Astyanax mexicanus: one gene and its partner. The protein of the gene in region 1 interacts with the protein of each later gene in a pairwise test. Links are inferred from orthologs where the notes say so. Each region holds a gene or a part of one and is shown in the gene's direction. Other genes may lie near its edges. The genes, in order: bach2b and batf3.

Region 1 (16,917 bases):
AAAAAAAGAATGTAACTGTTGTGTTAAGTCTATATAATATAAACACTAATATTTGAATAATGGAAGTTTAAGTGTTCCAATGTTGTATAATTACAACCTTTCATATTCAACTACAATTTATATTGTAACTAAAATTTTCCTAAACTAATTGATTTTGAATCGAATTGGGACCTTATTAATTGAAATCGACATACAAGACAGCTTTTACAGAGACGGTCCAGACAGCCTACCTCTCGCCAAACACCCTGACACTTACTTCACTCTTCTGTCACTGAGGACATTTTTGAACATCTGACCTCTGTGTGTGTGTGTGTGTGTGTTTTAGAGAAAAGGCTAGTCTTGTCAGTTCGTCTAACGTGTTCCATTCGGATGCAGACAATTGGCTTCTATGTTCTATGTGCAGGTTTTTTGGGTGCACGAGGTGAAGGTGTATTGCACAATGGTGGATTCCTCAGCTAGGCATCCAGAACTCCAGCTCATGTTCTCCAACATCCCTATTTATCTTACACAGTCATACAGCCTTTTTTACTACAACAGTATATAGACAGTAGTCCTCAGAGACTCATCAGAGAAGAAAAAATCCATTGATGGAATAACCTGGTCTATATTCAGTATATTCATGTAGTCAGCTGACCTCATTCTTTCAGCACATACTGTTGCTGAACCTAGACCTGCAGATCAACTGCAGCATCAACCCCACATCATTTACTTACTTAAATCCAGGTGGAGACTTTTTTTTGGCCAGATACTGTATAAATCTTCTTTGCAATATAAAATGTTTTAATAATATGCAATATGATTTTTAAACACTTTTTTTATAACCAGAAAAGACCCAGACTTTTTTGTACTTAAATATTGCAAGTAGTTTATTCTAGAATTTACTACTGAAGTACTGAAAGTAAAAGTACAGTAGTGTGTTGAGTAGTTATTACAGAAAGGAAATTTACAGAAGGTTCTCAGAGTGAAAGGCAGAACAGAAGCAGTGTGGTTTTCTAATAAGATCGGCTTTTATCGCTTGATTCCCTGGGTTTGGAATGATTCCTAACATTTTTATAATTGTAACAAGTAATGATGCAGCAAATAAAATAAATGTATCAGAATAACACTACTAAACTTATTAAAAATATGTAATAAAGTAAAAAAAAAGATATTCCAATAGATACAGATTGCAGTGAAACAGTTCTACATCATTACTAGACATCTCAGAACCCACCTGGGGTCCACACAGAGCTGGTAGCTACATTTTGATGTTCTAAGCTTAATTTACTGCATAATTCAAACACACAAACTGTCCCTTAGAAAATGTCTTGATAAATGGACAAATAGAAGTTCTTTAAAAAAACCTAAAGTAGATATGTTTTTTACATTGACTTCCTTTGAAAGTTAAGAAGGTTTTATCTCTCTCCTGTAGAGTTGCTGCTTTGGAGATGCACCTTTTTCATTGGACGGCGACGACAAGTAAAAGTGTGCTTCAAAACAAATTTATTTGAAAGTATTGGCCAATAAGGCAGGGCTTTGAGGATTTTACACATTTTAGTAAACTAAAAATCAACAAAAATGGAGATAAGTGTTTTTCATAGGACATAGTGTATCTTTCCAAAAGTCTTGGTTGTTGGAAGCAGGATTAGCTTGTTCATGCCCATGCCACTTGTTGCTGGGAATATCTACTGACTGCAGACTGAAAAAAACTAGAGTTATTCTAAGGCTAAGCATTTGTGAAAAACCCTTCTGTGCCCACGCAAGTGAGTGTTTGTGTGTAGGTGTGGGACACACACACACACACACACACACACAAACACAGACACACAAACACACCTGTCTGACTCCAAGGGAGCTGCTTGCACTACAGGTAACCTGAGCTGGATGAGTTGAAGCAAGTTGCCTGTGTTGTGAATGGCGGTTAGCGTTCTATAGCGCTCATTGACGTAATCATGGTCTCTGGCTCCCGAACCCATGCTGGCATACCCCGGCCTCTGCGGCTGCCTTTTGCGTCTTCGGGCCTTTGCCGAGGCCTGCCTTCCCTTTTTCTTGGCACGCTGTTGTCTCAATGCGACCGCAACGGCAATTAATCTCCCCACGAAATGAGTCATCGCTGACTGAAGCATGACTCCGTGACCGACGGGGATGCGTTCATCTTGTTTCAGGTGGAGGGTGGCAGGGGGGTTGACTGTTTTGATTTGACGCCGAGTTCGAGTGTTATGAGTCAAATCTTTCAGCGGCTACAGGATTTGACATGTGCTGGATGAGTTGTCGAAACACCGTCGCGCAAAGAAGTGCAGCAAACTGCAATACGGAGTCTTCAATTTGTATAAAGATCCACTGATACAGTTTATATAGTCTGATATTTTTATAGTATATTCTTGTGCAGTTATGCGCTAAAGCTACAAAATGCTAACGTGATAGACAAGTATGCCCCACCTATTAGCATCATGCCTGAGTCATCACACAGACCTTCAACCGCACTGAGTTCTGTGGTTTCCAAGAGAGTAGTAGCAGTAGTAGTATCTCACAACCTGAGGTTTGTCCATACTCTTGTCCATTTTTTTGTGATGTCTGTGCAATACTCTTCCGAAAATCATCATACGAAAGATACATTCACAAATGCTTAAGGTTAACCATATAGAGAAACATACACAACTTATATTTTAATATTTGGGCTTAGATTCAGCTGGGACAGACCATCATACAGTGGAACCATACAAATAAATCAGTTCTCAAGATCTTTTTTTTTTTTGGGAAAAAATAAAATGCAATGTGCTCGAGGCCGAAGAAATATACGACCAACTAGATTGCTATCAGCAGCCAGTCTAAATGCCAGGATATGCCAGGATCTGTCATGATATGAGTTTGTGTCAATACATTTCTGTGATTTAAATCTTAGAACAACATGTGCCGTCCTCATAAAAACATAATTTCTAGGGATTTCCATGCATTAAAAAAAAACTATGCAAAACCACATGCAAAAACACATTACAAAGACATGGTTGAAGAAAAACAGGGCACATACTGTACTTGACTGGCTTTCTGCAGTCCTGAACCCTTAGAAAGTGCTAAAAAGTACAGTAGGGTTGCCAATGCATTTGATTAATTTGAAATCAGCATTTTTTTTTAAGTTTGACCCAAACTTTCACCGTAATCTGCCCCGCCCCATCCAATGCACAGATTTCATGGTCCATTCCAAAATGAACTCTGGAGCTGTTCGCTTGTGGTGAGAATGTGATCTGGTCTAGATCTGATGCAGCTATCAAATATACTTCTTTTTAATTAAGCTAAACTGCTAATAAGGCGCAGTTTAATCTGCTTTATTATCCAGATAATATACTGATATGGACAAACATTGGCTCTGCTGCTGCTCATCCCATTAAAAACCCTGATTGAAAGCGCAGGGGCAAATTTTCAGTGTTCTGTGATAAAGCAGCACAGATCAACGCGCTGGAACACAGAATCTTCTCGCTATATTTACTTTCTTGCTCCCACGCCAGACAGCTCTGGCCAATCAGAGGAGACAATGTTCTCACATGGTTTATTGTTGTGCTGATCCGGACCATAGAAACCAACTACAGGTGTGAAAACGCTCTTTTATACTCAGCAAATTAAGTTCTAATACAGAAATCCTTAGAACCAAGCTGAGATGTTCAAAATAAAGTAAAATAAAAAGTTTTCTCTGTCCAATGTATCATGTATTCTTTAATCCAGTGCCCCACGTTGGCTTTATCTCTGCTCAAACATACAAGTATATACTAATATTTTAATTGACACAACTAATATAAATATAATTGCATTTTACATTTCTTACATTCGTTCTTTTATTTACATTTAAATATCCACTATAAAAACTTGCATTTGAAGAAAAACAAGTGTTAATAATCGCAGTTAATCACAGAATATTGTCGGGATTAAACGTATTCATTTTTTTACTCAGTTGACATCACTAGTTTACAGGAACAATGGTAATCGTTAACACCTTAATTGGTTATCATTCTTAGAACCAAATTTTTTTTTCTAAAAGTTAGGGAATTGCAACATTTAAAATTGGTAAATGCTTTACCGTCACAACTTTTTCAGGAATGTGTTGCAGGGCTGAAAAGCAGGAATTAATGTAAACTGTATTTATAGATGACATTTGAGCAGGCAAAACATAATTATTTGGATTTGTACTGTCTGTAGTAAAATAAAAGTCAATGTCAATGTAGGAAACATTGCATTTTGTAGTGTTTTGCCATTTTAATACTTTCACAACTTTAAAACCTTTCAAAATAATGTTTTGTATAATTTACAGAGTGAGAAATACAGTTTCCTCAAAGTTTACAGTTCACATGTAACTACTTCATAAGAAAATAGTGTGTAACTCATGATTCCTAACAGACAGCTTGATAAACTTTAAAGTTACTTTTTTCATACTTTTATGTGAATGAATATGAATTTGTATTTGAATGAATGACACAGCAGTCCCTTATTTTAGCACAGTGATGATTCCTCGATTCCTCAGCATTGAACTTAGGTTACCTTGATGTTGTGAGATAAAAAAAATAGAAAAGTGATGACTGGGTGATGTTTCACATTCACAAGTGCACAAGTTTCTACATGTCCTCTCACTCTGGGACATCCAGTCAGAGGGACACATTTAAAAGTTTTTTTTTTTCTTCTGGGTACATTAAAATTACCAGATTATTTCACATATCGCAGATACAAATCACATATATTTATGAATGATATAGTCTGATCTGAGCAAAAATCTCAATTTGTTTAATGAGGTTTGTAATGTGAATTTAGCCCAGAATTAATTAATTTAGACTGCAATGCATAATCAGTATATAATACCATATGAACATAAATCCAATAGGTATTTATAATATATCTATATATACACTTTTTATGAACAGAAACTTGGGCCAGATAAAAACAAATATTTTTAAGTTTAAAACTAGTTAATTTAATTACTGTAGAAATCTTAAATATTGTTTTTTTTCTGATCCTAAATGGCAAAAATAATTTTTAAATGTTAAAATAAACTGCCCATATAAGGACATTGTTTTTTTTTGGGGGGGGTGGGGGGGGGGGGGGCAAAACTACTTTGTGTACAAAGACAAAATTTAATTTTCTATACTTTTTAGGTCTTACTAATCCTAAACAGCTAGGATAAATTAAAATGCACACCAAGCAAAAATCCAATGAAAAATGTCAGATATCTGTGCATGGAGTTGTAGAGGTTCCTAATGGCGCCCTGTGATAATCAATATCAAGCAGCTTAAATATTCTCACACAGTTCCTGAAGATTTTACAGTATTTGTGAAGTTTAAGTAACTAAAATATTACAAATCTCAGGTTTAAGCTACACCAACTTCCAGTTTAACTCCAACAACACAGAATTGGACATGTTGTGTGAGCACTGATTCAGATCCAGGCATTGGCACTGTGTTACACATCTAGTATTTGAGGGTGTGTTGCACAAGTCTTTTAAGCAAGAGGTCAGTTGGCCAGTGATGTTCCTTGTGTGTGGAAGTGCATCTGTCTCTGTCTGTCTGACCTCTCTCTTTCTTTCTCTCTCTCTCTCTCTCTCTCTCTCTCTCTCTAAACCTCAGACACAGTGAATGCTGTTTGCATTACCCTTAATTACACTTCTTCACATAAAAATGCAAGTGTTTGTCCACCATGGTGGGCGGGAAACAACAGCACATGCACACGATGACCTGCCTTAACACACCCATGCTATTAGTGTAACAGTGCAGATGTTACAATATGATATTTTTTTTTATATATGATATATTTTTTTTCTAAAATTCTTCTTAGGGATTAATAAGTTATCTATCTGTCTGCCTAATTCTATCTATCTATCTATCTATCTATCTATCTATATATATATATATATATATATATATATATATATATATATATATATATATATATATATATATATATATTTATCTATCTATGCAACATTAATGCAGAAAAGAGCATTAAAGTGGACATGAAACATTTTAGTTTGTAAAGATTTTCTATGGGATTAAATTTATGTGGGGGGAAATTTTATATAGAAAATGTTTACACACTAAAATATAATATATTATGTTTGTTACTACCCTAAACATTAGTGTTAGCATTTGATTTTTGTTTGGTGTGCATTTTCATTTCTCATAGTTATTTAGGATTAGTAGGACCTAAAAAGTATAAAAACTAAACTTTGTATTTTGCCGAAAAAAAACAAAAACAAAAAAAACAATGTCCTCATATGGGGACAGCAGTTTATTTTAACATTTAAAAATTATTCTTGCCATTGTCACGTGGTCCCTGTCTGTTCTCGTGTTTCTGTGTTTATTTACCTTTTCTGTGCCTGTCTCTGCTTGTGACTGTGAGTGTGTCTCCCACGTGATCCGTGTTCCTCAGTGTTTCTTGCCCTCACCTGTGTTCATTTGTAACTCCGCCCCTTAGCCCCAGGTGTTTTCTGTTTCCCGTGTGTGTTACACTATTTATAGTCCGTGCTCCCTTTCCCTCGTGTCGGTTCTTGTGCTTTGTTAGCCTGTTATGGTTGCGTCTCTGTTTCCCATATTTCTTGTTTTCAGTTTAGTTTCAGTTTATTTGTTTATTTTTGTCTTTTGTTATTTGTGTAATAAATTCACTCGCATTTGCATCCGCTCTCCTCGTCCTTCCTGCCCGCACCCTGACAGCCATTTAGGATCGGAAGAACCAAATTAATAAAAAAGATACATTTTAGCTTTCTACAGTAAGTAGATAAACTAGTTTCAAACATAGAAATATTACATTTTTTATCTGGCCCATGTTCTATCCATAAAAATGTGTATATGTACATATATTATAAATATCTATTGGATTTATGTTTATATGGTATTATATGTTACAATTATATGTTAGACATACATATTTAATCCATATATACAAGTTTATTAAAATGCATACAGCTGTGGGCGGAGTTATAGCCCCATAATGCGTTGGATGGATGCACTACGATGTTCCAAGTGTTCTGTATAGTCTAGAGCAATTGCTATGGTTCTTTGTCTCATAACTATAGTTGCTCTCTTTTGTATATATTTAAAAAAATTAAAACCTTAACAGTGTATTTTGTAAAAAAAATAAAATAAATAAATAAATAAATAAATAAATAAAGGTGCCGAAACTGTCTTTTATTTTACTGCAAGTTTGGTTCACTTTAATGGACAGTTATTAAGTATGGTTGAGATCAAGGGTTAAAATGTGGCTCCTCTGGGAACTAGAAATGAATATGTATAGCACAGTACTCTCCTTATGTTTTTTTCCCACTGTCTCTCTCTCTTTCTTTCTCTCTCTCTCTCTTTCTCACACACACATGTATGGATCTGTTTTTGTCCTCCGGCCCTCCAGTCTCTCCGGGCCCCTGACAGAATTCCCTGAAGGAAAGGTCAGAGAGTGCAGGAATGCCACTTCAACTGTCCATCTATGTGTATGTGTGTTGGGTTTGGAATATGGGGTGTGTGCAGTGCGGTAAAAGTGTGTAAGTGGTTGCTGCTTATGCACACAGTGTTTTTCTTCTAAATCACAAAAAGGTAATAATAAAATGACCTCCATTAAGATTAAAAATTAAAACATTAAAAATGTCCCTTTTTAGAAAGACTAATACATTCCACCTCCAGTACATGCAAAGTCAGCAACCGTCTCTTTTTGAAATATCACTAGGTAGTCAGAACCTTCAGTAGAAAGCACCAGATCCCCAGCTTTAATACACTAGCCATCAGATGCCTGTGCCAGCCAGCATCACACTGGAAGTAATGAGGGGAGAGAGCTCCCAGAGCACCATGACTCGAACATTGCGATCAAATTAAATGAAATCTAGGCCATAATTTAGCCAGCCACTATCAACTTTATGTTCAGTGATGGCAGGAACAAGAAACCTGAACTCCAGGTTCTGTTCAGTCGTCAGATTTATTACCATTTTAGCCTTTATGTGACCAGCTGGAACACCAGCATTGGCAACTAGCAAGTGTAGAGCAGGGTCTACAGGGCCAGCTGCAACATCTGCGGGCAAGAGTGCTGCACAATGCCATATATAATCTGTATGTCTCTATGCCCAATTATATCTTATCTAGTGCTTTTCCACCAAAAGAACCGTGGTGCTTTTCAGCGAACCAGCCTTAGTGCTCCACCAGTTTTAGTGGAACCATCAAAACGTCACAACATACGTTCACAACAGAGGGTGTTGCACAGCGGCGGTGAACAGAAGCAGTCACGATTCGCACTGAAGAACCTAGTATTACTGATTCCTGCTAAAAATTAATGTTCCTGGTTCTGGAATCTACTTTTGTTGGTGAAAATGCAGCAAAACAGTTAAAAATTAGGTTTGTAGCCAAAACGGTTCTACGTTGGTGGAAAATTGCTTATCTTGTTTCCAGCTTAGAGGCACCAAAACGTGTACTAATAGCTTTTAAAATTGTACATTTTCCATACTTTTCCCCGTATCCTTGTGCTTGTGTTTGTAAATATCATTATTACATTCAACTATCAATTGTTTTGTCAATAAGTGTTCTACACTGTTCCAAGAAGGCTTTGCACTAGATTTTTGAACACTGCTTTAAAGCATTTGATTGCATTGAGCCAATAGATCTTAAGTGAAGTCAAGTATTGATTTTACATTAGTTCTTGATCACAGATGCCACTCCAACTCCTGCTAAGGGAACTCAATGGAGCTCTGTCGCTTCAGATAATACAGTTTCACTGTTCCACAGAACAAGGCTGGAGGCATTTAACCCTCTAGCCCTTGCACAGCATTGGTCATTGTGTGGTTGGGCTCCTCCAGAGTGCCCCATTCTATTGACAGCACCCTATGAAGATTAAATAAGATGTTAAATTTTGCATTTGAACAATATCTGAACTCATTAGAAGGGGTGTCTGGATCCTTTGGGTATTAATTAGTAGAATTTAGATTTAAACAGTTAACCATAAATAGAAAATAACTTTCCACTCAATATCACACTTTTCAGAATAGCAGAATAAGTCATACCTCTTAACAGTAAGAGGACACTTTAGCTCAGAAAAGCACACTCTCTCACACACACATACACTCCTGTATGAATGCTCCAAGTGCAGACTCTGTGCAGACTCCCCAGGGGAAGAGCTCTCCCCTCTAAATGAAACTCTTCCCACCCAGAGCGGCTGTGCTGTGTGGGCTGCTTCAGAACAAAGCCAGGCTGTGTTGAGAAGACTGTACTCAGACACACAGACCCACACATATGTACCTCCTCTATCACATTGTTTTTCTTCATTGTTGTAAAAAGAACAGATGAACATTAGTAAACATTATGGTTTTAAATGCGTAGTACTGTATATTTGTAAGTCTGATCAATCTGACCACACTAGACAACTAGTATGATCAAGCTTAACAATACTAGTTAAACAGCCTGGCCTGCATCACCAAGCTGGTTGACCAACAAAATCAAACTGGTTGACCAGTATGACCAACATGACCAAGCTTTTTAACCAGCTTGACCTCCATGGCCAAGCATGACCAAAATCAAATGCAATATATACTCTATATACTCCTAAGTGGTCTAGCGTTCTAGCATATAATATGTTTTCACCTAGGTGACCAGCATAGACTATCTGAAACCAGCTACCAACGAAAGTTGGTCTGGGGCTAGATTCTGCAGCAGGTCAATTTTAAATATAATAATAAAAACAGCTGTAATTTCCATATAAATCACAGTAACAATTATAGTCAGTATAACTAGTAATCAGAACTAAAATAAACATTTTAATTGATTAATATTGTTTTTATCCACTGTTGTAACAACCCATCATTTATTGTTGTTATTTACAGTCAAAAACAGCTAACAATTTAGAAATTAAATAAGGACAGCCATAATGTTCAAATAAAAAATATTAAATTTATTCTTTATAACAATAATCACAGTCAATATAACTGTAATTGATAATAGATAAAATAATAATAATAATAATAATAATAATAATAATAATAATAATAATACTTTGATATTGTTTTTATTAAAAATAATTACAAATAATTATGGTGGTGTCCTGTTATATAGTACAGTACCGTATACTATTCCTAGCATTTAAATAATAACAATTATGATAAAATAAGTATGCTTATGTATGAATTATTTGTTTATTTCAAATATCAATTATTATTTTGTATTATTATTTTTACTTTTTCATTGTACTATACGAATAGTAAATGTTGTGTTACTGTATGATATAGTTATTTTCGTATAATATGGTAATATTATACAAACAATGTTTGTATGGATTTTATGCTTATTTTTTAAAATGCAAATTGTTATTATTATTATTATTATTATTATTATTATTATTATTATTACTAGGGTAATCTGTGAGTCTGACAGGGGTAGTAAGTTAACGTCAGCGCTGCTCCGTAACGCTGATTCTCTAAGCGGGTTTGCGCGCGCGTGTTGTCTCGCTGGTTTTGGCGCGCCCCCCGGGTCGTGTCGCTGTAGTGAACTGAACTGTCGATTCAGAAAAACACGCCGCGTCCTCCTCACTCCGCTGTGCGCGCGCACCGGCCCACCGGCCACATGTTTATGTGTTTATTTATTTATTTATTCGGTGAATTGTTTGTTTATATTGGGGGGGGGGGGGGGGGGCTGGCGCAGGCGCGCGCGCGCTGCTTTATTGTGTGTATGTGTGTGAATGAGGGCAGGGGGAGGTGACGTCATTTGGCGAATGTCAACAACGGTAGCGGAGTGAGAGAGAGAGAGAGAGAGAGAGAGAGAGCAGGGGAGGCGTAGAGCTTCAGTACCAAACACAGGAGACGAGGAGCTGCACGCTGAACGGAATCACCGCGCGCGCGCACACACACACGCACACACGCGCGCGCACTCGTATGCACACTCACATACACACACTCTTGCACATCAACAGAGAGATTCACAAAAACGCGCGCGCGTGCACGCTGAGGGGTCTTCTGTTCCCAAACTTGACTCTGCGAAGAGAGAGATAGAGAGAGAAAGAGTGCAGGCTTTGATCTTCCTGCACGAGGAGGCTTTAGAGGAGTCTGCAAGGAAGTCATCATGTGAAAGACATTGATTTTTTTTGAAGCACGCGCACGAACGGGCTGGATTACGAGAGAAAAACAGAGGGAAGTTGAAGGTAAGTGGACTCGACTGGCGTGTTCTGTCTCTGTCTTTTTTGTTTGTGGTTCTGCACTTCACTCAGCTCGAGCTCTAGTCGCTGCTTATATCGCCTCGTGCAGAAATGCAGTTAGAAACTCGTGCTTTTTGCAGGAGAGAGAGAGAGTAGGATAGAGAGTAAGTGAGAGAAAGAGAGGAGGGGGTGGTCGAGTTTCGGAGTAGAGCGAAGGGAACCGTGTCTTCATGCATTGCACTGACCACCCTGACCAAGCACGGTGCACGTGAACGAGGAGCGCGCGCCGTGGGACGTGGCCGCATCCTGTTGTGCTGAGCTCGAGCGGCCGGCTGCCTGTTTTTGAGCAGGAGTTGGATGCGTTGCCATCCCGGAGGAGGAGGAGGAGGAAGGGTGGAGGGGTTTGAGGGGCTTTAGGAGGAGGGGTGGGGGTGGTGGGGGTGTCAGGCATGGCCCTTGTTTTCGTGAAGGGAACAGAAGCTGTCACTCGCGGAAGCCTTGACCGACCAAGTGGCACACACACAGAGACGGACCAACCCCCCCACTCCCTTTCTTCGGGGGTCTAGTTCACCCTTTTCCGGCTTATTATTATCATCATCATTTATTTATTATTTTTAAAATGTTTTTTTAATAATAAGTATTTTAAAGAAAAGTAATATCATGTATTATTATTATTATTATTATTATTAATTGTATTATTATTATTATTATTATTATTATTATTATTATTATTATTATTATTATTATTATTGTTATTATAACCACAACCCTTACTGGTGTTACTATTGATAACTTGCTATTATTATAACCACTACTTCTACAGTTATTTTTTGTCTGAACCTTCTCCTACTACTAGTACTGCTATTAGTAATAGTAATAGTAGTACTCTTCTTCATCATCTTCTTTTTATTATTATTATTATTACTACCACGTGCATTACTGTTACTATTGTTATCATTAATAGCCTGCTACTATAGCCAATACTGCTACTATTGTATTGATATTGTCACGAAACCTACTGTATTATATCATTATTATTATTTTTATTATTACCATTACCATTATTGATGATTCTATTGATAACCTGCTATTATAACCACTACTGCTACTGTTATTTTCTCTGAAGCTGCTATTACTACTAGTGTTACTATTATTAGTAGTAGTATTAGTAGTGGTAATATTTTGGATCTTCTTTTTCTTATTATTGTTACTACTGCCACGTGCATTACTATTACTATTCTTATTAGTAATAGCCTGCTACTATTCATCTTATTTTCACGAAACTTAATATATATATATATATTTTTTATTATTATTATTGTTATTACTATTATTATTGCCACTAGTATTGTTACAGTCAGTAACTCAGTCAGTTAAGTCAGTTACTACTGCTGCTGTTATTGTAGCGCTGCTGTTTAACTGTTTTATTATCATCATCATTAATGATAATGAGGGCTGCTGTATTCTGTGCACATGGAGGGATCAGCCCGTCGTGTCACTTTTGTTTTCGCAAGAGTATCCCAGTGAAAAGCAGCAGCAGCAGTCCTGTGCTGTGGGAATGTGCTTATCCTGCTGCTGCAGAAAAGCAGCTCTCCGCCGGCTGGCTTTGTTCTGCCATCCACACACACACACACGCTCTCCAACCCGGAGCCACCGCATTACAACACCCCCCCCCCCCCCCGCCCCCTCCCCCCCCCCTCCATTAATCCACACAAATATCAGCAGAAATATCTGCTGTGTAAGGGGGGCTGCAGCAGCAGCCCTGCTGCCCGAGGGTGCCATTTAAAGCAGCAGAGTCCGCTTTTCCACACTCTCGGTCTCTCTATAGAAATGTTACTCACACCAAACAAACATTGAAAACACCGAAATCAGTATCGCATGTTTCCTGATAACTGAGGCGTGGAATCTGAGCTGAATGATCACTGACTGGAGATCAGTTTAGGAATAGGTTGCGCTGGAGTTGTGGGAGTCAGCGTGGACTGGAGCGTGGACTTGGTTGTAAACAAACAAGTCATCTTATTATCATAGTGGTCAAATTAAACCTTCGACTTTCAGATGACGTGTCGTTTTAATTCGGTTTCATTGATGAAAGCGCTTCGTCTCTCTGTAAATACAGCGCCGGTGTGTTGTCGAGTTGTGCTACCTTGTCAAACCGTGCTACCCTAGTGTATTTAAAGGTAAAAAGAAATACTATATCCTAATAATATTTTCGAATAGTCTCGCTGTAAAAGTGTCGATTTGATATTGGAATAGCCTAAATCGTTGTATCAGAGTAGAATTAAGGCAATACATGTAATTGGAAGCCATTCTATAGTTATTTTTGTTATGTTTATATTAGCATAATTATTACTTTACACGGTTGTAAAAAATATCTCACTCAAGCAAAAAAAGGCAGTGATCTCAGATTGTATAATGCACCCAAAACACGTGAAAATAGTAATAAAAATGAGAATTAGCGCATGCGCCGAGCTGCTAAGTAACACAAATCGATGGGTAGCACAAATCGACAGAACACCCCCCGTTGTGTTTTTGGCTGCTGGCTGTGAGAGCCGTGAGCTCGCTGGTTATGAATGACTTGGCTTTGTCTTCAGCTGGGAGGATGTATGAATGTAACATTAGCCCGCGTTAGCCTTTAGTTATCACACACACACGCGCGCGCGCTCCCGTAAGCTTCAGGAGCATCTGCTATGCTAATACAATGCTCGCTAGCGATCTTCTTGTCGCGATTTGATCCGATTAAGCGCGAGCCCGTGTTTGAACAGTCTGGGGGAAACACGTTTCTACGAGAGCTGTTTGGTGCTGTAAGAAATTCTGCTCCCATCCAAAACTGTGCACCCCCCTCCCCCTCCCCCTCCTCCTTCTCCTCCCTCACCAATGCGGTGATGCAGCATTTTACGCTGCCTTGTTGTTTCCACCCCGCCACCACCTGTTTTCCGCAGAGGCCCCGCCCACTACGTGCCCCAATTGGCTAATGTCCGGTACTCTTGGTACTTTCGAGCGCTCGTATTTGCATACAGCGCTGTGATTGGCCGAAATCACTGCCATCCCTCCAATCGAAGCCCAGGTGGCGGGATTTGTCTGAAAACAGGTGGAGAAAAAAGATACAGCGCGTTCCAGCCTGCATTCCTTTGTCTGCTCAGCGCAGAGAGACGGAACTCAATCCCCGTTATGTTTTATTTTTCATAAATTCACCAACACACAGTTATATATCCTATAATAGGAGGAGTATCTTAGAATTATACAATAAAACTGCTTAATTTGTTCTATAAAGAGGTTTTATGAACGTTTTAATGTAAACGTTTTGTGGGTGAGTCTTATGTTCATACTTTGGCGTCAGGTTTATTGTTCATGAACCGATGAACCTTTAGATACACGTGTATCTGTGGAAGTGTAAAAAAAAAAGATTTTATTACAAATCATTTTGGAGCATTTCATCATATTGGTCCATTCTTCATGAAATATACATTGATGAGAACAGCTGTCCGACTGTAAAAAAGAAAAAAAAGTAAAAAAGTAAAATACAGCAAAAACTGAGTTTTTCCACAACAGTGTTTTACCTCATTTATTTCATTCACATGTAATAAAACTGCACATAACCTGTTTTTTACCTCCTTTATTTCTTTATTGTAAGTGCCTGTATGTCCCATATGTCCTATATCCTACATTATGTTTCATCACAGACTGGCAGGTGCCTACCTAGGGAGAGCTTACTGTCATTACACAGAGCATTTATTTATTTTTTTGCCTTTCCACTGTCCATCTGTGTAAAGGAGCTAAGAGTGTGTTTGCTTTTGTGCTATTCTTTGTGCAATCTGTAACCAGCGCTCAACAACTGATAATTGATATTCATGTTATAAATGCAAACATCTATAAAAATATATAAAAATATATATATTAAGGTATTGCAAGGAAAGTGGACATTGTTTAGATTTAGAACACACTGTACTGTTTGCCTCCGTCTGACAGCTGATGTTTGAATTTCCGTACAGTGAATGACTGCATGTAGGAGAGCAGTGGTGTGAGTTCCACGTCGACAGTGCTCAGTGCTTGTGTCTTATCTTTAGTTCCATCTCCACGTTGCATGTTAGATTCACACAAAAAATAATGCATATTTTAATGAAGCTTGTTTTTGCACCGGACAGTGCGGTGGTAAAGTTCAGAGGAGTGTGGTGCAGCTGTAAATGCTAGCTAAAGGCATGGTTTTTGTCCTGTCCTGCTTGTTTGAATAAGCCCACCAGCGCTCTTTCAGAACACAAGCCTAGGGTATGAAAACATGTTCCCATAGCCATCCCACGTCAGCACAATGGCATGTTTGACTGAGCTCCAGATTTTGACAGAGAGAGAGGGAGCGAGAGTGTGTGTGCTGTGTGTGCGCTGTGTGTGCGAAGCTCCTGAAGTTCAGACAGGGCTTTTGTTGTTCCTCTCTTACGTTGTGTTAGGATGACACTCATGCCCATTGGCATCATCAGTCACCACTCGGAACCAGACGCTATTATCACTGCCAGGACCAGCTGTGTGTGCAGTGCCCTGCGCCGCACACACTTGCACACATTTAGTGTTTATTTATATACAATGATAGTAAAAATGTATCCCATATCATTCATACTGTATGTGTATGACTGTACAAATAATAAATTCTATACATATTATGACAGACATTGTGGTTTGTAGTCGTAGTAGAGGTTCTTAATGGTGTGCTTCGATAGTACATCCTGTGCAACTTTAATATTCATACAGTTCCAGCAGAGTTTGTGGCAAAGTGTCTATGTCTTTAGGCTTAGATGTTGAATCTTCAGCATGTGGATGAGCATTGTTGTGTTGGCGCATTATAGCACAGACCACAGTTCCTCCACGCATAAACTTGTTGGATGTTTCCTCAAAGAAAGAAGCAACACTTGTCACTACAGATGATTCTGAGTCACTCTACATGATTGTCTAGCACAACTACCCACCACATTTCACTTTTGATGCTTAATTCCTTGTGGGTGATGAGTTTATACACTCACTCAGGGTTCATACACATTTTAACCAAAAAATTTCCATTATTTTGTCATGAATTTTCCATGTGTTCAAGGCAAATTTTCTTTGACCATACGATTTTTAAAGCATCAGTGCAGACATGAACAATAAAACTAAAAATCAACTAAAACTATAATTAAAATGAATAATATAGTAGGTCCAAAATGACTCTGATAAGAATGTTGACAAACAATATTTAATAAAAAAAATGTGTGGCAGATCCTGAGAGCTCCATTGTGTAAGCTTAAAATTATTGAATGGAAACACAAAGATTTGTTGAACCTAATTTCAATGACTTTTCCAAAACTCTCTGGGTATTTTTATTTTTCCAAAACTTATCCATGACTTTTCCAGGTTTTTCATGACTGTTTGATCCCTGCTCAATGAAGTTATGAACAGTTATGTTGGATAAGCATCTGATATAAAATCAATATTTTGCCACACAGTTCACACTACACACACAATTACAGTTAGTTAAGCCAGTTTGTGTGTGAACATACTAACTAGTTTAGCCTTGTTGTCAGGAATCACAGGCTAACTTAACTGCAGTCACAATTATGCAGATATTACAAGCTATTAGTTTCAGTGCTGACGACTAAATTGAAAGCATTTACTATATGAATTATTATCTCTCTCCCCTCGTTTGTTAAAGTGACAGTGGGAAACACAAGGTGACCGGTAAATAAATCAGCTGAATTCACTGCTGACAGCAGGGAAATAAAGAAGCATATAACAAAGTATCAGAATATGATAGGGCTCAAAATAAATCTATAAAAAAAACGACAAAAA
Region 2 (17,150 bases), about 9.6 Mb from region 1:
TTGGGACTTACCTGTTTTGCTCTTTCAACAACATCATTCATGTCCTAAAAATACAGTAAAAATTAAGGATTAACGGGTAGTAACTGATTAGTAGTGCAGCTGGTTATTAAACTCTACTTCATTATATTAAAAAAAGACAATACCATCAATGCATTATGACCAAAGGGAACCCAAATAATATTAGGAGGGTGGTTGTAATGTTACAGTTACAAGGGTAATGCAGGATTTAGACCATTTCACAAGTGTTTGAGGAGGTAGCCATACAGTTTGAAAAGCTTCTGTTACTTGTTAACTACATAAGCCCTGAAGCTCCAGTGCCAGGTAAACATACCAAACATGGCTTGGCTATCTGACTCACTACACTTAAATAAAAGGACGTGTTTCACAAGTGTTCCTTAATATCAGGGGTGGCTAGTTCCAATATACCCGGATCTAACATTCAGATATTGCTTAATCCACTGAATCAGTTGATTTAAGTAAGAATTTAGTCATCTATAATCCATTAGAGATGTTAGGAAGGCCATGAGCAGTGCCAAAAAACATAGGTCTGACATCTTTGTGGTGACCTGGCAACACCTACCAAACATCTGCGACACACCAGACAATTTTGGGGAAGCAGTGCAGAGCTGTGTTTAAAAATGAGTGTAGAACTGTAGTGCTGGTTGACTAGCATTCATTGAAAACACGTTATAATTTGGTGTTAACCCATAAAAGCCCGGACCTATTTCTGAATATTGATACCAAATTCTAAACTGAATCAGATAAATTTAGGGAGCAGCTTTTTTTTATGTTTTTCTTCTTATTGTGGGCACATTACTTTATATTTAGGAAAATCATGTCCGAATTAGTTATATAAAATGTAAAGCATCTAAATGGTTAAATGGTTGGAACATTTAACACTTTTAAAAGGAGTTAGTTTTAGCTCCAGCACATTAACATTCTGTAAATAAGGGTCTGATGAAAGAACACAAGAAAGATGAAAGATTCAAACTGTCCAGTGATGCTCCTAGGATGTTCCATATGTGTCACTATGTGTCACTAATAATGTTCTTCATGAGTTAAAATAAAGCAGAGACTGCTGTAAGGAACTTTACACAGATTTTAAATGGTCTTTTAAACACATATGTCACTGTAGGCTCTTTGGGGTTAATCTGGTGGTTTTGGATGATACTATTGCTAAGAAATTTTAAACACAGATTTATATATTAATCTGTATAACACATGGTGAACAGAGAGAGTTTAGCAGACCTCTAGTTATTATCAATGCTGTTTTTTTTCTACACCGTTTCACTATAAACCGGGTTCACACCGAGCCTGAATAAACAGCTGACAGTCTGAGTTAACTCCACACTGAGCGCAGTGTGAGTCTCCTGTTTACCTGGAGGAACTCGTTAGCTGACAGGTGGCAGTGGCAGTCTACCAGAGGTTCATCCATCTCACTACTCACAGCGTAATAAACTCAGAGCAGAGCTACACATAAGACCACTGTTATTCAGTGATCTTCGTGTCTGTCACGCCGTGGTTAGAGCAGTAATCTGACGGTATAGCGTCTCTGCGACGGCTGGTGGGGTCTCAGTGAATGGAGCCCGGGCGGAACGACGTACACGGTATTCTGTTGTTCCGCCCGGCTATATGTTGGTGGGACGCGTGGTTTTGAAGAGTTGGCGGTAGAAATGGAGGGCAGGGTTTCTGTTTCAGACCCGGAGAAAGAGCCGGACCCCAGAGTGTCCGTCAGCTCGAGGAGACGCGTTACAGAGCAGATAGCGCGGTACCAGGAGCTGCTGAAGACGCTGCTGGAGAAGCAGCCTGAGCTTAGCGAGCAGAACCGGGACAAGCTGAGTCAGGAGGCGCTGAGGGTGAGACTCCCGAGACCCCCCCTGTTCCCCCTCCGCCCAGCGCGGACAGTCCGCCGCAGCGCCGCTCTTTACTGCGGGGCACCATCACCCGCCCGCCCGCGGCTCCCTCACACACGCACAGCGACAGCGTTTAATTAACCAGTAACACCAGAACCGACCCGAAAACCAGCTCAATATTTAAACTAGTGTAAAATTAGGACATTTAACCAGCCCGCATGTTTTATTAATTTTTGACTGTTTGTTTGATTGTTTACAGCAACACAATAACACTGTACCAATTTTATTGTCTTACTCTCATCCGTACGTGTATACAGACATTATCCATTGCTCAAACGTTTACCTTCGTTTTGTAACAGCAAGGCCAAGCACACCTACACACGGCTAGTAACAGAATAACTAAAGAAAAAAGCATTTTTCTAGCCACTTCAACAGACGAGGGTCAGTGTAACGCTTATCAGTTTGACTTTGTTGACCATTTGTGGCTAAATTTAAAATGTAAAGATGTTTTATTTTCAGACTGAAATTCCCTATTGGGTGTAGCTAAAAGACAGCAGGTAGTAAAGGAGATTCTGAGGACTGAGCACAGTGAGGCAGATGCACAGTGATGTAACAGTAATGTAATAAGTAATTCCAGAAGTAGCAGCAGTTATTTAGGATTAGCCTGAATCTAAATTTATACAGGAATTCATAAGTAAATCTCAGATTGTTAAGCATGAAACATAAATGATTGGTTAAAACGAGTGTGAATAGTCAATGCCAATAAAGTGTCACTTGTTGCTCTTTAGAATTTTGAACTTGTGGTGCAAGAAAACATCGTTGTTGATGGTTTACCATGGGAGGAGGCAGCAGAAGAAGATGGGGCAGGTATGTAAACCAAATGATTGATGCTGCATTACTTTTTGTACTGGTTGCACTGGTACAACATGTGCTTTTTTCTTTAGGTTTCACAGAAATCAATTCGTCATCACTGGGAACTTTTATTGCTCTTATTAAAAGAGAGCATAATTTCAACAATGAGAAGAGAGCTTTGAACCCTTTGAACTAATCACCTGTATTGGGAATAATTTAATAATTGTTTTTTAATGATGTTTTATAGATAGCTGTTATACGTGCACTGGGATATATACACATGATTTTGGTCACAACTTGTATATTCAAGTATAATGTTGTAAAGTTTGTGAGTTTTTTTTATTTTTTCTGATGGGAAAGTCTGACCGAACATGCCTGGAAACACCTCAGTTCAGTCTCTGGTGGTTCAAGTCAGTGGTTCAGACAACTGTGGTACTAACAAAGTACTGTGTTTCGGAGAAACGGTATTACTTCAGAAGTTAATAAGCTGTTTTCACACTGAATGCTATATATGAAGCCCTCGCCCCTCACAGCCAGACAACACTGTTTGCTGACGAAACTTCACCAAATATACGCGGGCCCTTCCACCGAAATGTTTGGCTGTATGTTTGTTATGACAAAAAAATACTATATATCCATGCAAAAACTGGATTACATTTACTAAAATTCACATTAATAAATCAATAAACCAGGGGACAGTACTCACTCCTGTTTTTGGCACATGCTAATAGCATGAGGACACTGATCACTTTCTAGTGATTTTAGTCACTTCCTGTTGTAGATGTTGTGACTTGTAGAATGTTCCAGTTGATTTAGACGGTAGGAATGTGTTACAGTAACAGGAATGAGTGAAACCCAGGGACACAACCAAAATGTATATTTTAACTTAAATATTATGGATTTTATTATGGAAATATTTTTAAAGCATAGATGGGATTTGAAGTCCCACAACAATGCAATACAATACATCTCTGAAGGAGTTTAATAATTATATGTGATTTATAGTTAGGTTTTTAATTAGAGAGTGGGGACTCTTTCTAGCACTCTCAGGTTTTTTTTTTCTTCCACCCCCCGTTTTTTTCTCGGTGCACAGAAACTTTTCTCTCCTCCAATGGCTGGTTGGCCGATGATAGTAACCTAGTTGTTACCTTTACTGGTTAAACAGTTGTATAAGCATAATAATGTTCATGTATTGAATTTAACAAATAACATGTTATTTTGTGCTCCTCTAGATTGTGAGGTCAGTACATTGGATGACATGTTGGATGAAAAGATTGTAGAGGCTACCAGGAAGCGAAGCATTTACCCAAAGAAAATTCTCCCATACGTTGTGCGGTCTTTAAAAGCTGAGCGAAAACTCATGGTTAGTTGTTTTCCTTTAATAAAACTGCATGAAAAAAAGTGTTGTGTTTGCAGTGATGTGTACCAGCTGAACCCAGCCACAAGATGTCGTCAGAAAGATTTAAATTTAACTCTAAGTTTAAGTTGTGTTTAAAACGATTTGAATTTGGTTTAGGGTTTGTTGGAAAACACCATTGTGCCACAAGAAATAAAACGAGACCCTGCTCAAGGTTAGCCTTCATATACTTATCTATCACATTTTGTGTAGTTTGATTGCTATAGAATTTAACAGTCCCTCTGTTTTTATTTTGTTTTGTTTTTATTTAAGATGCCATCATGAATAACGTGTCAGCTGCTGCTCCCGGGATGTTCGGCCAAGCATCTACAGTAATAAAGGTAGGAGTCAGTGCTGCTCACTGATTTTATCCAGAAAACTGATTATTTTGTTAATTTTGTAGACTTGCATTTAATTAATATAATTAATAAAATAGTAATTAAATTTAAATGTTCAGTATGAATAAAGGGGCAATAAGTTGCCTTGTCATTTGTAAGATATTTTTAAAAAATAGTTTTTATTAGCCCTGTGTGAAATTGGAAGATTATGGAATCGTAAAATCAAGTCCGTCAAGACTAGTTGGGCTAGTTTGCCAGATATTTTTTGGACAGACGAATCTTAAGTCTTGCTCTAATATCATAATTTATCCTTAGTGTATTTACAGGCTACATTAATAACAGCATGTTTGGTTTAATAGACTAAAAAACAGAATGTTTTTTTTTTTATAAACAATGTTACTTGATCTTTTATTTGCAGTCATTGAAAGCCTTGAAGCAGACAGCGGAGGGTCTATACCAGGTGATGAACATGCAACCCTCAGATGAGACATTGGATGTCTACAGGGAGATATTTGGCAGCTCTAATGGTGAAGCCTGCCCAGTCCTGTGCAACAGGGGACCTGCTAGTAAACAGGCCATCAAAAGAGCTGTATCTGAGACAGTATACAGCCTGGACTATGTCCCTATGATGAAGACTCCAACACTGGCTAAAAAAGACTGAGTCAACCTTTTTTTTTTTTTTTTGGATAATTCTGCATGGAAGAACTGCAACCAGTTGTTATAAGAGAATCAGTGTTGATTTAATTTCCCAAGATAATACTGTATAAAGATTGTACACAGTGTAATAATATATCATCAGTATGTGACAGTGATTGGCTATATAGGCTATAGGTTGGCTATTTGGCTATTTTTTAAGCATTAAAGTACCTAATACTATTAAAAATAGCTGACATGGCTTACAATTCATAATTGACATTATATGGATAAAAGTTTATTTGTGCATTCACTGTTTCTTTTGGAATTAATTTAAGACTTTGCAGTGCTTTTGTTGGAATACCTGTCTCTACTGTCCATGCAAAGTATCCAGAGCTTTCCTAGACTTAAAAGCATTGCTGTGAGTATTTGATAGCATTTAGGGACAGGAGTGGTAGTGAGGTCAGGATGTTGCATGATCAACACCTCACCTTACCCCCATTTCCTAAGCTCCTCCCCAAATTATTGAATGTAACACCATCATTTTAGAGAACACAGTTCCACTGCTCGTGGGCTTTTAAACAAAAGAGATGGATGATGACAACTTACTGCCTTTAAACACTTTAAGAGGTGTTTGCAGAAGAATGGAAAACATAACACCTAAGACACTAAATCACTTGGTACCCTCTGTGCCTAAAAGTATTTTTAAGTGTTTTGAAAAGTGTTGCAGGCATAATGCAGATATCAATGTTTGTTAATTAATTAAATACATAGAATGCATACTGTGTGAAGTCAAATATTTTAGTTTTGTGAATAGTCATCTGTGACATCTGAAATCTTTGTCCATTGTTGCATAAATATTGAAAGAAACATAGGGAACCATTAGTCATCTATCAATGTTAGTAAAGTGTTGTTGATCTTCATTTATGAAACTGTAACCCTGTTGCTAATCTGTGTAAGATGTTTTAAAGAGTACAATTCACTAATTGACAAATATTAATACATTTTATGCCACACTGCTAACATCTTCTAAAAGCTAAGGCTAAGTAGTGCTCTTATTATGATCTGTTTACAGTGGCCTGAAATAACTAAACAAATTAATTTTTTTTTATTGTTTAGAATTTGTGTAGATTAAACATGTTTTTTTCTACTAATATATATCTAATTATTACATAATTATTATTAGGAATTTGATCCCCTATATTTTAATGAATATATAAGACCTTAGAGTTTCAAAGTATAGCTAAACACATTAACACAAAGCAATGTCTTCATCCCAAAACCCCCCATCAGTTACATATTATACATGTCTGTACTACACAATACATACAGTGCCTGTTCCAAAATTGGAACAGTGAGGCTAATCCTTCTAATAGTGCTTTGATCTTCTGGTGAAGCCTCTGTACTTTTGTAATGAACTATTCTGTCAACAGTAGATTGTGAGATCTTCACTCCCTCTGGAGGAGGTTGTTGATGTTACTAACAGTTTTAGGATTATTTTACAGCACTCACAATGTTTCTGTCATCAACTGCTGTAGTTTACCTCTGTCTACCTGTTCGACATCTTTTGCTTAGTACACCAGTGACGACCAAACGGTTGTACTGCCTTTTGCCAATATTTGTGCAATGGCTCTGATTGATTTTCCATCTTTTCTCGGCTTCACAGTTGCTTGTAACTATAAATGCACAATCTGCACAGGAAAACCCCAAATCTGAAACTGAGTGTAGATATTCAGTACTGTTAATTGTTTGAATAATCACACACCTGGGCAACAAAACCCACTTGACAGTCACATGTTCCAATACCTTTGCTCACAAGAAAATGGGTGGGTTCAGACATCTTCTAAACTGTTATCTAAACAGCTATCTTCTAAACTGTGTATTAGATACAGATATAAATAAAATAAATAAAAGCTGAAATGTTTATCAGATTCATATTTTAATGTCAAACCCAAATGTTTGTTTAGTCTACAGCAGAAATAATTGACCTCACTGTTCCAATGCTTTTGAAGAAAAATATAATACATATAATAGCCTATGTTGTAAGAGTATATCTGTTTAACATTGTCAGTGGTATCAGCGTGCCATAGTTCCTCCACCGAGATTAAATATTCTATAATATTTCTGGCTTCTATTAATGAGTTACACTTAATTATTTAAATATTTGTTTTCTTTTTATACAAATTGCACGGACATTAAAATGTACTTTACAGGATCTGCACCTGTTCTGAAAAAGGTAATTCAGCATGTTTTAAAATTCTTGAATTCAGCTTAAACAGAGAAGGGCGAATGCTGAGTTTTTTAAAGGTATCCTGTTGGATTAGATGATGGAGAGCTGACAGGATAGGGAAAGATGGCGGGAAATGTGTCTCTGAAAGTCTTTTTATTCAGCATCACAACTTTACTAAGGCCATTATTAGAGCAGTAGATTTTAAACACAGCTGACCTGATCTAGATTGTGGTTCTTGGTAGATCTGAAATGTTGCAAATCTTTTTTTTTTATTCAACCAAACAAGTATACAAACATCAGACAGATAAAAAATGTTATTGGTAGGACTTAATTATTGATGGATACAACATGCTCATGGAACAGGAAAACTCACAGAATTAGAGAACACATAACAATATGAGAGATAACAAAATTATAAATAAAAACAAGCAACAATACACGAGAGCGAGTGCTCTACCATGTTATAGTGACCGAGTAACATAGAACAGCACAGCAGTGACAATATTACCATACTATATAAATGTTATAGCATGAGCCTCAAGTGCATATTGCAATTATTTAACTCTGTAAGTTAAAATAGTACCATTGCTGTGCTGTTTGGTTTGTAAGCGCTGCATCATTGACAGGTTACCTGTATGTGGTGGAGTAATACATGGAGAGCTTCTGTTACAGTGCATTACCGGCTAATAACGACACTCATAGAACGCCTCTCAGCCAATCACATTGCAGGGTCAGAACTAACTGTGGTATAATAAGACATTAATTGAGGAAGGCTAATCGATATACATTGAATCATCATTATTAAACAAATCATAATAACAGAACAACTTTCTTCTTTTTTTATTGATTATGCTTAAAGATCGGAGAAGTGGATTAAACCATACCTGTCAAGTCTCCCGTTTTGGCCGGGAAACTACCGTATTTTACTCCTCTTTCCCGCCGTCCTCCCGTATTAGTATTTTCCCGTAAATTTCCCGTATTATATTAAATTAAAAAATATATATTATTGAGGAGACAGGGCACTTACCGCTCTGTGTCTCTTAACCAATCGTGGAGCCGGTTCAAGGAGAAAGTCCCGCCTTTTAGGAGAAACAGCCAATCAGCTTGCAAAGGAGGGTCAGCGTGGGGAAGCCCCCCCCCGTCGCTGTGAGTTCAGGCAGCTAGTCGGAGCTGCTGATGTTAAAACATATCTGGATATTCAGCGATTTTTCTAAAAGAAAGGTAACGGTAGGCTAATCATGTAAACTGTGATGAGATTTTTCTGATGGCTGCTTAAAAATACTCGTCTCCGAAATAAAACACACAGATTAAACCTTTTAAAATAAAAAAATTACAGCTTGTGACTCAGCTTAACTAGAAATGTGGAGAGGACCGAAATGATCTGAACTGATCAGGGGTGGAGTGATCAAAAGAAAGAAGTATTAATTAAAAATTATTAATTGTGTAGGCCCCTTAGGACTATTTTTTACTGATGGAATATATCTGGTCTATGTCCTTTTAGTAAAAGCTCATGATACTATTTTTAGGTCACCTACAGTCATTTTGCAGAATTTGTGCACCCTTTGTTCAATTTTAAATCTATTACATAAATAAAAAATATATTATATAAAAGAGTGCATTTATGCCAAAAAGAGATGAAATCTTAACTTTTTTTTAAATATCTAGAAAAGGGTTTTTAATTTGGCTGTATTAAAAGAATGACATATGTAGGAATGTCCACAACATTTCAGATTCTGATAATCTAATTGTAGTGTGTAAGCGGTTTACATGTGGTTATTTTAGATTTTTTGTAAACATGTCTTAAAATGTAAGAGATACTGAACCTTCGTTGGGCTGGTGGGACAACTTTAAGCGTACAGAGGAAAATATCCCTTATTTTTAAATCTAAAACTTGACAGGTATGGATTAAACTGAAATACATAGAAAAGCTCTTTTGGTCTGAACATTTTTGGTTGTGAATAAAATATTTTGCGAGTAGATTATGGAAGTTTACAGTTCTGATGGTATTTTATTTGATGTAATGTCGCTAATCCTCCTCAGTCCTCCTCGCTTGGTGAGTTCTCTGAAGCTGTAGCTGGTTCTGTGAATGAGCTGCGCTGTGAGGTTACTGGAGGTCTCTGGGTTACTGTGTTAGAGGCGCCCTCGCCCGGCCGCTGCGGGTACTGCAGCCCTGAACAAGTGCACCACGTGACTTAGAAGAAAGTGAGTGATGGGTAGAGTACCGGTAAGAGCTGTGAGCGGCAGGCCGCTGGTCCACTGCTCCGGATGAGCTCCGGGAGGAGAGATGCGCTGAGTTGAGGAGCAGCTGCTGTTTTCTGTGTGAGAAGTGTTACTGCCATGTCCTCTGCTCCAGACTACTGCCCCCCCAGCCATGCACCATCCGCGCGCTCGTGCCTCCGGAGCGAGGTAGGAACACTTCACTCAGTCCAGCTGTAACTCACTGTTGTGTGTGTGTGTGTGTGTGTGTGTGTGTGTGTGTGTGTGTGTGTGTGTGTGAGCACTCTCCTGAAGTGTTTCTAAAGTTACCTTTTAATTTCACCTTATAAAAGCCACTCCCTACAGAGTGTAGCCGATTCAGTTCTTTTTCATATCAGCTCTGCTCTGTATGTCCAAAAGTGAGCAGACAGGCAAAGTCAGGATGTTAATGGGGCAGATTCTGTAGTCTTTGCTGCAGCTTTCAATTGTATATTCTAAATATTCTAAAACTGCTGTCAGGGATTGATTGCATTTGAAGCATTTCTGACGTCAGGTAACCTACTGGTGGCTACTTATCACCCCAAGCAGAGGTACTGGATAAAGCTCAATCACTGGAGAGAGAAATGTACCAAAACGTGTAGTCCAGTTTTTATAAACCTTCAACAGATGCCTGGCATCAAATGCAGTTGGCATTACCTTTCTATTTTAACTTTGAATCAACGTTAATGTTGGTGCTGATTTTGAAAAGTGGATCAACGTTAATGCAGCATCATATGTTCAACCTTTAATAAACCCTAGATCACATTCAGGATGCTGAAAATTGTATGGAAGAGGGGAAAAAATTGATGCCATGCTAAAAAATTAACAATTTTATTTTTATTCTTTCTCTCTCTGAATATGCATTTTTAAGAAGTAGGAACTTTACAACTCCAAACAAATTCAAAAGGTTGAAGGTGAGGACATTTTGATTCAATGTTAAAATTTCAATGTTGTTTCGACATTGAAATAACAAGACATTACTTCAACCATATTCAAATTTCAAACATTAAAGGTCAGTGTGTGCCACCTAGGTATTTTTATGCAGAGCTACTTTTGGACAGAGTTTACACTAACTGCAACTTATAAATAAATTGCATGTCGTTGCTGTCCAATGAAAAACAAGAAACTCCATTTTTGATTATTTTTTTACCGAATTAGAACACACAAACTCACCCTTACACTTTTTACGTAGTTTTACAAAATGGCATGAAATAAACTCTTTTTACATTGACTTTTATTAAAAGTTAAGAAGGTTTAATTTTTCTCTCCTAAAGTTGCTGTTTTTGGAGATACATGTATTTCATTGCACAGGGAAGATGTACAATTTCTACACACTCCTCTTGTATTGTGCGTGGGCTTATGTGGTGTCTTAATGAATGATGAATTAGAGCTCTGATGATGATGAGAGGAGGCTGAAGAGAAGAGAGAAGAACCGAGTGGCGGCGCAGAGGAGTCGTAAAAGACAGACCCAGAGAGCTGATGAGCTGCACGAGGTGCGTTCACACAGCACGCATATACTAATCACATTTTTGACGCAGCCTGGTTTCTAAAGTGTAAACACTGAGACCTTACCCTGAGAACAGTCATCTTACAGGTCTCATGATGACTAAACCAGGATTCGGACCGAGGAAGCATTTTGTACTTCACTTTTAAGAAGGACAAGCACAGGCTGTGTTAAATGTATTACTGGTCTACACACAATTAATAAATTAATTAACACACTGAAAGTTGCCAAAGCAAAAAGACACAAAGTTCTTACAGCTAAGTCAGGCTCAGAATTTTGCAGGAAGGTATAGCAGACAGAGACTAGAAAAAAGGTCTAATGATCAGCAACTGGAAGTGGGGAGAAGAAGTGGATTGATCAGTAGACTGGACTGGACGAGTAGGGGTGGACAAAGATGGACAGTAAGGCTGATAGTTAAAGAAATAACTTTGAGATTGCAAGTAAGCTATGCTTTAAAAAAAATGTGCCACGTGAGTTGTTAAGTGTTGTAATATTAGAACCACCTAAACAACCATGTTTAATAAAGAATGTGTGATTAACTCAGGGTGAGGAAGTCTGGTTCTGGAGGGCCTATTGCAGCTCACCCACTGCCTGCCAGGCTTAACATATGTTTTTATCTGCAGTCCTGCCATTCCCCACCGCTGTTTTGTAAGTTTAAAGAAACTTCACAGACCGTGCACTTTATGATGTTTTAATGATTATGCATTTCATTAAAAAAGAACAAACACTACATAGAAGTTTGTTTTTAAAATCTCTTAGGCCAGTGCATACCTGCTGTTTACATCTGTCATGAGTGATCTGATCATATGTTTACTATAAAAAAGAACAGTAAAATTCACTTTTGCAGTTTTACTCATGAATATGAGTTCAGTATTCTTGATTGTCCATTTCAGTTACTAAATCTGAATCCAAAAGAACATCTTTAAGATATAATATTGCTTTCACAATTGCAGTGTTTTACACAGACTTTACTCTTGCATATAGTGGGACTTGCTCTTTACTCTCCACTGTCTGCAAATTTCTTGCAGGGAAAATCTTTGTGGTTTAAAACTGTGTATCTCTCTGGGTTTAATTGCCAGATCATTCTGCTTGCTTAATAATAATAAGAACAGACATAACTGTGTATGTTTTAAACAGTGTTTCTATTGCCGGTGACCCACTGCCCTAAACAGGATGATTCATTCTTGGCCCCAAAACACATGATTCAGCTCATAAATAGCACAACAGTTTGACCAGGAGTTTTGAGTTAAAATGATGTACTTAAAATGATGTACCTGATTTACCAGGAGCAATATTAAGAAATAATGGGTTTAAATGTTTTCTTCAGCAATTATACTGTGACTGATAGTTACAGTTTGTTTTTACAAACGCTAATAAGTATTTACCAGTACTTTAGATACGTTTTCTGAACGTTTCTTATGTGTCCATGTCAGTGACAGCACCTGGCTATATGTCTCATGCTAAGATCCAGAACCAGCTGTGGTTGTCTTATCATAGTCTTTTAATTATTAGTAATGTTCTGTAAAGCTATACACCTGCTATTGTTGCAGAAGTAACTGTTTTGTCTTACATTTAGAGTTTGGAACATGAGATATTTATTTTTGGCATGCTATAGGCAAGAAATTGTAAATAAAATCAGAACGATCAGGAATTGTATTTAGTGGGTAATCTTGTTTGTTCATAAAATGTAAGCATGTTGAAATACGCTAATTGAATACATATTGTGTAATACCAACATGAATTGTATCAAGAGTATAGTCCATAACAGACAGGTGTATGTAGAGTTTTGAAAATGTGAATAAAGATTGGACAAAAGGATGTTAGCACCTGAAAAAAAAAACTGAAAAGATGTGCACTGGCACTACAAGGCAAATGAAGCTAGTGCAGAAACAGAGAATTGTGTATGATAAACTAAAATAGTAAATCAAATGTGTAAACCACATTGAGTTGACAAATAATGGCAAATTAGATATGGATTGAGTTTGCTGATATTGTCTATTATTCCTGAAAAAAACAGTTTTTAAAAACTTGATGTTTGACGCTTCAATGTAAAATACGGGGGAATTATTACATGTCACATTCTAAATAGAAGCTGCTAAATGTTTTAGTTATGTGATGTATTTTTGTTCATTTTTATATGTAACACTCTCATGCAACTTACATACTAAAGATTGTTTAACATGTGTCAGTTAATGAAACCAGAAGTACAGATACAAAATGATTTAAGTTTTTCCTGTGAAAAAAACATAGAAGTAAACTATTTTGTCACTAGGCATGTGTGATTGAGATATGTGGAGAAAATGTGTCCATCACATTTAACTTTACATCGGTGAATGTAACCTCCTTAAATGTATTGTCTGACGTGTTCTTTTAACGGTTCTGATTAAAAATGTTTCCACACAGGCGTATGAGTGCTTGGAGCAGCAGAACAGCTTGCTTAAGAAGGAGGTTCAGCTGTTGCTTGAGGAACAGAAATGTCTGTCAGAGGCCCTCCAGTCCCATGAGCCCCTGTGCCCTATTCTAAACAGCAGTGCTCTTCCAGCAGCTAGGACCAATGATGCAATTCCTCCCTGAGTTTACAAACAAATTACTGATGGTATTTACTGTATTCATTCTCAAAATGTTTTTTTGTAATTTAAGTTTGTATTAAATGTGTTAATGTTGTGCCTTTTTGATGTGTTGCTGCTTGAAAATGAGTGTTGCAGTTTGACACGTATCAAAATATTCTCTAGAAGTTTTTGTTTCTAGAAAAGCGTGTTCAATAACAAGATTTCAGTTTCATTTTTATGCTGTGGGAACATCATTGTGTCAGATAGTATTCCAGCTCACGTGAAATAAATTATTACTTCAGGACTGTATTTCACTATGTAACCGCAAACCAGTCTATTTGGTGCACCGCTGTAGTTTAAGTGCCACAAGAAGGAACACTTCTGCTTTACTGAAAGTGCTTGACCAAAATATCCTTTCTTTGTTTCAGGATGTCATGCTCTACTATTAACCATGTTCACTAGTTCTTCATTATATATGTGACAGTTACTTGTGAATAGAATGTACAGAATTTTTTTAATTAATTATTTTTTTCACATGCTTGTGATGTGCAGTGTGTTTGCCCTCATGTGAATCTATTTTTACAGATACTTGAATTTTAAAGTGGTTGTATTTTTCAAGAAGAATTCCCAAATTTTATGTCATTGAGGTCTAAATAAAGTTATTCAGAGTTGCTTAGTGTGGAAAGGTTCATTGTATCAAAACTCTCTTTAACAGAATAAGCCCTAAACTACAACAGAAAATGGCCATTTAATTGAGCACAGGTTCTTGCTAAACACTGTACTTTGACCACACTGCTGTGTTTTTAAATGTTTCTACAGTATATTACAATCTGAGAACACTGAGAAGACTCTGACAAGCTGTACTGTTTCATATTGTCCCTCTCTCTCCCCAATCTGTCACTAAAGGGCAGGCATTTGGTAATTGCTTTACCCAGTGATTGTAGAAAATGTAAACACTGTGGTTCCATTCCCTTGAATTCTATAGAATTTCTATAGAAACAGATTTATCATCATGTTAAATACACTAGAGACATCCCTGATGAGGAAAGGAAGTAATTTGGGAGTTCACACTGTGCTGATTTGTAGAAAAGTAAAAGCAGAATGAAAAACCTTTATGAGAGCAGGTTAACTGAATCTGAACGGTTTTTAATCTTATCTTGGAAACACAGTCCCACATGTTCATACACAAGGAGGTTTAATACAGTTTTTTTTGTCAGTAGTCATTCCCCAAAGGGTATTGGTGGGAAGGTGGGGTCAGCATGGTCTGCACAGACTGCAGAAGAGTTTGGAGATGAGCAGCACGGCACATATTGGAGAATACATAGGCTGCAGATGCTTGCTTTTTCTGTGATTTTCTGTTACATATTTAATGGTGCCGCTGCATCGGACACGTACTAGTACATATTAAACGAAATATCAAATATAATTATTAATGAGATTTCAAAAACAACAGGTGTGTTTTAAAGGACAGATGGATTTAGTGACATGTATTTCAACTTTATGTGTGAACTCCCCTCACTCTGAATGTTTACTGTGAATGTTTACACACTTGCTCATTTTCAAAATACAGTGAACAGTTTAATCTGACTATACTTGTTGTACAGTTAAGATAATATTTGGATAGTGGCACAATCATGATGATTTGGGCTCTGCATGCCACATTTGATTTGCGATGAAACAACTGAGAATCAGTTAAAGTGCAGATGGCCAAGTGTCCAAGTGCAGATGTCCAAGGGGTTGAACAAAAATATTCTATGAAACATTTAGGAATTACAACCATTTTTTCTACCGCTTCCTCATTTTAGGGGATTAAAAGTAATTGGACTAATGACCTTTGTCATAAATAAAACGTTATTTTTATATATATTTTAGTTTATAATATTTGTTGAGAATCCTTTGCAGGCAATGACTGCCTGAAGTCTGAAACCTATGGACATCTTCAAACACAGGGTTTCCTCCTTTATGAATACCTTGTCAAGGCTTTACTGCGGCTGTCTTCAGTTGTTTCTGGTTTGTGGATTTTTCTGCCTTTAGTTTTGTATTAAGTGAGTGAAATGCTGCTCAATTAGGTTCAGATCTGGTGATTGACTTGGTCACTGCAGAATATTCCACTTCTGTGCCTGAAAAAATTGTGTGCTGCTTTTGCAGTATGTTTTGCATCATTGTCTTCATAGACTGTTAAGCATCGTTCAATTATCGTTTCTGAATTTGAGCAGAGAGTAAATCCCTGTAAACTTCAGAATTCTTTCTGTCTGTCACATCTTCAATAAGCACTAGTGATCCAATGCCATTAGAAGCCATGCACACCCATAGCATCACACTGCCACCACCATGTTTTACAGAGGATGTGGAGAGCTTTGCGTTGAGCTGTTCCAAACCATACTTTCTCCTTCCCATCCTTTCAGTACAGTTGGATCTTAGTTTCCCCTGCCAAAGTCAAGTCAATTCAAGTAGTTTTATAGTCAATACTGCATATGTATAGGACATACAGAGAATTGAAATTATGTTACTCTACTTCCCAAAGCAAGTATAGAAAAAAAAATGGGAGACACTATATTTACAAAACAACAAGGACACAGATAAACATATGTGGGAAAAGTGACACAAGACAATAGTCCAATAGTGATGGTGGGGTAATTAAGATGGAATGACAGCGCAAGTATAATCAGAACGTGTATAACAGTAGTGCAGATATGGTATAATAGATTAAGGCTGGTAAAGTGAATGAGTGCATAAAGTTCTTAAAGTTCACAGTTTAAGGGCAGTTAAAGTGAGTAATGCAGTACGAGTATTAGCAGTAGCGCAAGTATGGGATGTATAATGCAGGTCCGTTTTGAAAAGATCTCCTGAAGTCCACAACAATCTCCTTGGTCTTCTCTGTGTTCAGAGAGAGATTGTTGTGTTTGCACCAGGAGGCCAGCCGGCTCACCTCGCTCCTGTAGTGTGACTCATCGTTGTTGCTGATGAGACCCACCACCGTCGTGTCATCCGCAAACTTGACGAAGAGGTTGGAGGTGTGTGCTGGTGTGCAGTCGTGGGTCAGCAGAGTGAACAGAAGGGGGCTCAGCAAACATCCTTGGGGAGCCCCTGTGTTCAGTGTGGTGATGCTGGATGTGTGATCTTCCGTAGACGCCCAGGCTTTTTGATTTCCTAAGCTGATTTGGCCACTCTTTACACTATTTTCTTCTTTTTATAGGGTAATAATGAGCAGGTTCTCCTCCATTGAGAGCTCCTTTGACCGCATGTTGTTCAGAGCAACAGCATCCAAATGCAAATTCCACACCTGGAATCAGCTCCAGGTCTTTTACCTGCTTAAATGATGATAGATTACTAAGGGAATAGCCCTTGTAGCCCATAAAATAGCTTTAAAGATAATTAGTCCAATCACTTTTGAGCCCCTAAACACTTATATGACATACTATAACATTTGTTCAACCTGTTGAATTAAACCTGAACGTCTACACTGTAATACAGGTGTTTCAAATCCAGTTTTGTGGCATGCAGAGACCAAATTATAAAGATTTTTTCACTGTCCAAATATTTCTGGGCCTAACTGTATA

Evidence for each region.
Region 2: the proteins of bach2b (region 1) and batf3 interact in binary tests that used the Homo sapiens proteins (3 or more experiments, as listed by UniProt). The link is inferred for Astyanax mexicanus from reciprocal best matches to the Homo sapiens genes BACH2 and BATF3.

What each region holds. Positions count from the first base shown.
Region 1 is NC_064408.1:47,686,402-47,703,318, reverse strand, and holds the start of bach2b (transcription regulator protein BACH2), read left to right. Parts: upstream 1-10,751; 5' UTR 10,752-11,115; intron 11,116-16,917. UniProt on the Homo sapiens protein: Transcriptional regulator that acts as a repressor or activator. Binds to Maf recognition elements (MARE). Plays an important role in coordinating transcription activation and repression by MAFK.
Region 2 is NC_064408.1:57,262,561-57,279,710, forward strand, and holds batf3 (basic leucine zipper transcriptional factor ATF-like 3), read left to right. Parts: upstream 1-9,423; 5' UTR 9,424-9,639; coding exon 9,640-9,708; intron 9,709-10,925; coding exon 10,926-11,030; intron 11,031-13,444; coding exon 13,445-13,615; 3' UTR 13,616-14,262; downstream 14,263-17,150. Other genes in the region: putative deoxyribonuclease tatdn3, read right to left, coding at 12-44, 1,379-1,435. UniProt on the Homo sapiens protein: AP-1 family transcription factor that controls the differentiation of CD8(+) thymic conventional dendritic cells in the immune system.